2 linked regions of the Saccharomyces cerevisiae S288C genome follow. Changing the gene in region 2 together with the main gene of any one other region gives a genetic interaction. Each region holds a gene or a part of one and is shown on either strand. Other genes may lie near its edges.

Region 1 (3,127 bases), on a different chromosome or scaffold from region 2:
AATGGCCTAGAAAAAGTTCGCTACGTAGGATTTAGTAAACTGGGAAATGACCCTAATGGGTTTGATATTAGGAGGCTAGAGCAATCTTTAGCCCATTCAGGTGTTATAGAAGACACATTCGAAATAAGAAAGCATTCATCTGTGAATACGGAACGCTTCGCTTCTACAAATCATGATAGAAGTGAAAGTGATAGTGATTTAGATATATAACTAAATAACCATTACCTCCCTACTAAAAATGACTCGATGGTCTTTTAAGCCATACGCATGAGCGAAAATGGTTCCTCCTGTTCAAACTAAATCGGTTATTCGAGCGTACCGTTGAAAATTTAATAAAACGTTTTGGGGGATTTATAGAAAGTTAAATACGAAATATGCGTATAGTAATGTTTATACATGAAACTCAAAAATGCGACTGTGTTCCTTAAAATAATAAAAGTTGAGTACGAATAACGATGACTGAGAAAGGTAGTGTATATTGTATATAAAATTGGACCATCTTTGTAGTAAAGACAAAAAAACCAATAAATGCAGATAAACTTAGCAGAACTAACTCTAAATTTAACTTTCCTTGGATGATTTTTCATTGAGTTTTTGAGTAAGTTCTAGGATTTGTTGCTTCAAGTCATCATTCTCAACCAATAAATGTGCTCTGTGAATTTCACTATCCTTTAAAGAGTCCATAGATTTTTTCAATTGAATACAAGATCTCGCGTAACCTTCTTTAATAAAATTGAAATTGAGCAGCAATTTATGAGTATTAATTATTCTTGCCTTCATTTCCGAAATTTGACTTATTGTAAACTCATTTGTGAACTTAGCAGGCTTCGTTGCAGATACAATGTCTTGTCTTGCAGAATCTATTTTAGATGTTATATCAGTAATCATGGATTCTATTTTTAGGTGGGATTCATTAGCGTCGGATGAAGCTAACGAAGATGAAGGTGATAGGGATGCAGGGGATAACATGGGTTCATTTGTGGTTTTCAAAAGGGATTTTTTCTTCTTGATGGTGGGTTTATCTATCTTATAGTTCTTTTGTTCTTTATCAGGTTTATGTACGTTATTTTGGTTTGTACTTTTATCTAATGATGCCTTGCCAGTATAACCCTTTTTATGCCTATCGAGATCAATACCAACTAGGCTATCATTAGCACTTCTCTGCATTTCCAAAAGTGTGCTCGAATCGGTGTTGTGTTCATCGTTAAATAAAGATTCCAATGTTAGGTGTTTCTGAGAAGCGATGTCGGAATCAAAAATATCAGTGCAGTCTAAATTATCCATCATAACTTGTTCGAGATCCTTTCCCAAATCTAAACTCTGCCCATCAATCTTTACTGTATCATCAAAATGATTATTTGCCTGAGTGAGCAGCCGATGCAACGTATGTTCTATATTGGCATCATCTGTTAAATCTGTATTCGGATTGGACTGATTCGTGTTCATTATCTTCACGTTTTCCCTATCACAACCTTAGTGTAACTTGAACCAACAAAATTTAAGATGTCAAAACTTCAATCAAGTATTGAGCTCTTCAATAGGGCACTAGCCCTCTGAAATTTTTCATTGAAAATACCGTACCGCATGTTTTTTGGAAATTTTTCATCTCATCGCTAAAGTGGAAAAAAAAAATTCTAGAAACTGAAAAAAAAGAGAAAAAAAAATGACAGAAAATATTTGATTTATATCAAGATGACACGAGTTTGCAAAAAGAGAAAGACACGCTATAGAAACTATTTTGGCAAATTAATCTATTCACTTATTTTTGAGTTTCTGAGTGTAGTTATATGCAAAGAGGCTATAAATCCTTATTTTTTTGAGAAAAAATGCTTGAGAAAAAATGCTTGAGAAAAGATGTATTTTTTTTTATTCGTTAGCATTTTTCCAGATATCGTTGAACATTGCTAGAATACTATCAAACCCGACTTTCCCCTTCACCGCGTTATCACTAAAACGTTTAACGCCCCAGTTTTCTACTTTCTCACTAAAGGTTTTGGTCGGAACACCAGACAGAAACTTTGCATCCTGCTTGAAAAGAGTCACATTCGATGGATTTTTCGGATGAGGAACATAACGTACGGTTTCGTAACACTTCAAAATATGCGGGAAGGTCATATTGCAACTCCTCATAGTTAAAGATCTGTCCCTTCGATCAACGGTGGAGACCTCTCGCACGTATGCTAAATTAGTGTTCCCCACTAAAATGGACATCCAGTGAGGGGTGTTCTGACGTATGGTTATCAGCCGTTCTGTAAGAAGTACATCGCCATGTTCTTTGAGCTCTCGGCGGAGCACATCGACTGCAATAACGTGTGTGGAGATCTTGTTTGGATATTTCATCCAGTTCGCCGTGGTGACTTTCTCCCATGGGTAATCGAATTCATAAGATTTTTGAAATGATTTCATTATTAATATATAAGCTCGAGAGATATATGACTAATAGAAATATTTACTTGAACTTGTCGATTAGAGAAAAGAAAATGCGTTGCTTGGACCGCAGATCCCACTTATTGTTTTCTTGCCAAATGTAACAAGATCTATAGGTTTATGAACTTTCTTCGAAAATCTCATTACTTTTTTTGATAAATAAACGGGCCCCTTGCGGACAAAGCCCTGAAAATTGAAGATTTACGCAGTATCACGTAAACCCAAAAAAAAAAATACAATATCGGTTAAAGTGCTGTTTTAATTTAGAATATATGTTTTACTAATCTATTTATAATCAAGTATATGTGTAATTTGGCTTTTTCCCTTGCCTTGTGCTTAACCTAGTTTTTTTCAGGTGATTATTTTACCGGGCATTACCTCCTAATACCCATCCTCCCATGTTATCCATATCATCTTCGCCGTATAAATCCAGGGTGACGGCTTTTTTATAAACGGGTTTGGTGACTGTAGAATTCGAGTTTGAGTATTTCACTCCTTCAGTTGTTACATCTGTAAAGCCTGCACTATCATTGTCATCATAGAGATTTAGATTGAAATTATTGGAATTTATACCAGTATTATTGTCGTTATCATTATCATTATAGTTATCATTGTCTGGGTGATTCGGTACTATTGTGCTATTAGTCGAATCGTTATCGTCCTCGCGTTCTTTGGGGAGAGATCCAGACATGATTTGGTC
Region 2 (3,648 bases):
TATGCTGGCCAAACTAGAGACTGAAAAAATTACTGGTAACTCATGGAGAAACAAAAAACGGAGAAAACAAATTGATAGCACAGTGGAAATCGAGGCAAAACTGAAGGAAAACATAGACAATTTATCATTAAGGTTTAATGAAGGTGAAATAAAGCTGTATGATTTTATTCCTGCGGAAAAAGATTCCGTTCCATTGAAGAAGGAAGTGAGTCCGGCATTAAAGGCTGATACCAATGATATACTAGGCGATTTGGCGTCTTTGAAACAGAGAATGAGCAGTTTCGGAACAGTAGGTAAAAAAAATAAACAAGAGGAGAACAGAGCTACACCAGTAAAAAATTGGTCAAGGGTTCAAAATTGGAAACCCAAACCCTTTGGTGTCCTGTAACCTGTTTCCAATGCTCGTTATAAATACGTTGTAGACTATAAAGCTGAGTTGTATGCTGCACCCTAACGTGCATGTATATATAATCACAGTCTCTTTAACCTAATATGCAAACGAAAATGATTTAATCAAAACAACCTCATACTCTATGGGAATAATCTTTCAAGATACCGGTCATATGAGTGTTAGTAATCTTACCCTTTCTTTGTCTCTTCTTTTTAACTTCAACTCTCTTTGTTTGTCTTTTGATAGTAGCAGGATCGACACTAGCAGGCTTTAGACCTAAATCTTGCAGCTTTCTTGGCAATTCTGCAAATTGCGGTAATTGCACATTTTCCCACATTTTAACAAACTCCTCGTCAATACATTTCAAGTTACCACCGCTGTTATACCAAACGTATCTTGGAGTTTTATCCTTTTTAGTTCTTAACACCAAAATTTTGCTGTCTTCCTCCAGTTGGTTAATCGTTTCATCGCATTGTGGCCAACCGTCTTTCAAGTCTTTGCAGGAAATACCTTTGAATGTTACTTGTGAACGTAACAACTTCAGCAGTTCCGAAGGGGAATGGACATCGTAGGTGGAAAGGTATTTGAAAGTCCCCTTCTTGGGGTCAAACTCTATTCTATCTAATTTTTTTAAAAGCTCAATAACCTTGTCATCTTTTTTCATTGACAAGTAGTCCAATAACTCATTCACCAAAACGGGCTTACCTTTCTTTTGAATGTATTCAGTCGCCCAAAGCAACTTTGAAGAATCGTGACTCTTGGAAATATCTGTTTGATTTGCTTGTAAAGCGGCTGCAGCAATAGAGCCAGGCCTTACTTTTTTTGAAGGAGAGCTACCAAAATCTTCGTCGTCATCGTCGTCATCTAATGAAATAGCATTAGAGCTATTGCTCCCAGCTTCTTTCTTGATATCCACTAACACAGGATTTTTCGCAGAGTTCAAAGTGTTTTCTTGCGCACGTTCGGAGGCCGTCCTCTTCCTAGTGTTTCCATCTATAGTAATCACTGTGTCATTGGTCTTCTTCTGTCCAACTTTAGCGGGTGCGATCACCGGGGCAGACTTCACTTTGCTTTTGAAAGCGTTCAAATTAGCCAGTAGAGGGTCCCTGTTTTTACTCATCGCAAAAGACTACTCTCTTTTCCAAATCGAACGAACTACTTGGTATAAAACAGTTCTGTGTAACAGCTTTCTCGTGTTCTACAGAGCACACGGTTATGTAACTAGTTCACTTCTTATTAGCTCTTTTGCCCTGATTCGTAAGTGAACTTCTTACCCGAAGTAAGCTCGCGCTTTTCTTTTTCTTCTCGCATATAACATTTTGACTATAAAAGCCGTGAACTATAGCATTTGCTACCAGAAAGAATTTTTCTTGCCCTGGACCTTTGATGCTTTAAAAAACATTTCTCTTAAAAGAAAGCATAACAATTTGTGATGCTTTAGGGAGCCTATTGTTTGATGGTTTATAGGAGCCGGATTTGTCTTTTTGACTAATTTTCAACCTATTCTTACTTCCAAAACTGTTGCAATGGCTCTCGTTTTTTTTAAATTTTTCTCTTTTCTCTTCTTTGGCATAGTTTATTTTTAATAAATTATTTCAGGGTGAGATAGAGAAAGGATAATGAGTATCGTAGATAAATCTTCGGTTCCGAATAGTGTAACTGTTGGTGCTGAGGTAATCCATCTTTAAAACCATCGCCGTTAGAGGTTGCTTCTGATATTTTCGGTTAAGCGACCCATGAAATGGTGATGACCTGAGGTATGGAACATCTTTCTTGATGGTTACTTTGTTATATATACGTATTTATAGTATGCGGATACACGCTTTTCTCGCTATGAATCGTGTTTGAGGAAGTATTTACCGCTGCCGTCCTTCCACCATCTTCTCAGGCAGCTGATGACATTGAGATCAATATTGTCTGGGTGATTGCTATCACAAAGACATCTTTGTTGAAGTCTCAGGTAGTATGCAGATGGACACGTGCCAAAAGGCATATGCTTATAGCCTAATTCATCAAAATGGATGATTTCGTCTTTTTTCAAAAGAAGTGAGGCAGCAATCGAATGAACTGGTGCATCTCCCCACCTTTCATAGTAAAAACCGCCCTTTGAATCCAAGTACTCGAAAAATCTAATGTATTTCTCACTTCTGAAAAAGTTCAAATCGCCAATTTCAAAATTTGTCCAAAAATGACATAAATTATAGCCGCTGTTACTATCGATGACACCAAAAGATTTACCGATGAAGTCGAAATTTGATACGAACCCGAAAGCGTTGCTTTCCATGTCAATATCTGCTGACTCTGTTTCTTCGAGATATTCTTCTACAGCTTCCCATAGGCTCGGAATTGTATCTTCGTATTCATACATAGTTATCACAAAGCCATATTTCTTATTGTTCTGCCTCATCACCTTGAATGGATCGTAGGGAAAATCGCAAAAATACTCTACATCTGGCTCAACTCTGAAATAAAAATCGTACGGATCTAATATCTTTTGTCTAAAGAAAAATCCAGAATTAAATCGGCACATATTTCTATATGACTTTGACCCACCGTACAAGATATTTTTTTCCTCCATTAATTGTAAAGCCTCTTCAAATAGAGTTTCGTTGATCCAAGATGGCCTGTTCCAGTCCTCCGCAGGGATTAAAGCGTATTGCGTTCTACCACTAGCCATGGCTGTGGTGGCTTCGATGAACTCTTGATCAAATGGGACATCATTAAGAAATGTCCAGTCATACTGGTAGTTTTTATTGAAACGGTCTTCTAGTGATCTCATGGAACGGAGTGCCCCCGAAAGTTCCCAATTACGCACAAGCATTAACAATGTAGCATTTTCTCTTTGATTTTTTATTCCCTTGGTCTTGTTTAGTGGTTCATCATTATAAGTGTTGCTAGATAGCTTCAGCGTCTGATTCATATGTCGCCTCCTTGTAAAATCATATCTCGATGAAACTTCTCGAGATCTTCTAAAAAAATACGAATCTAGGCTCAGCTGTCTCTGATATGGTACAAGTGCAAGCCAACATGTTTGAGCTATCAAGCAAAATAGAAGACTAACAAAAAGTAGTTTTTTAACCTGTGTAAGAAATACCTTGCAGATTTGCATGAAGCTCCTACGCTTTTAAATAAACAACTATTGTATAGAAAAAACGCAAAAAAAGCGTTGCATGTATAGGTGTCACATACCTGAAGAGATATAAAGAATCAAGAATATCATCAGACAGGCAAATGGTGGCTTATTATGTTTATTCTAT

What was found. A genetic interaction does not mean that the proteins touch.
Region 1: mutations in TFA2 (region 2) and ATC1 together harm fitness more than expected from each alone (negative genetic interaction), as found in Saccharomyces cerevisiae (2 studies listed by BioGRID).

What each region holds. Positions count from the first base shown.
Region 1 is NC_001136.10:830,068-833,194, forward strand, and holds ATC1 (Atc1p), read right to left. Parts: upstream 1,447-3,127; coding exon 562-1,446; downstream 1-561. Other genes in the region: PLP1 (Plp1p), read left to right, coding at 1-210; UPS3 (Ups3p), read right to left, coding at 1,867-2,406; SND1 (Snd1p), read right to left, coding at 2,792-3,127. UniProt on the Saccharomyces cerevisiae protein: Involved in cation homeostasis and in the regulation of the cation stress signaling cascades. Also involved in bipolar budding.
Region 2 is NC_001143.9:557,529-561,176, reverse strand, and holds TFA2 (transcription factor TFIIE subunit TFA2), read right to left. Parts: upstream 1,512-3,648; coding exon 525-1,511; downstream 1-524. Other genes in the region: rRNA-processing protein LAS1, read left to right, coding at 1-388; mannosyltransferase KTR2, read right to left, coding at 2,223-3,500. UniProt on the Saccharomyces cerevisiae protein: Recruits TFIIH to the initiation complex and stimulates the RNA polymerase II C-terminal domain kinase and DNA-dependent ATPase activities of TFIIH. Both TFIIH and TFIIE are required for promoter clearance by RNA polymerase.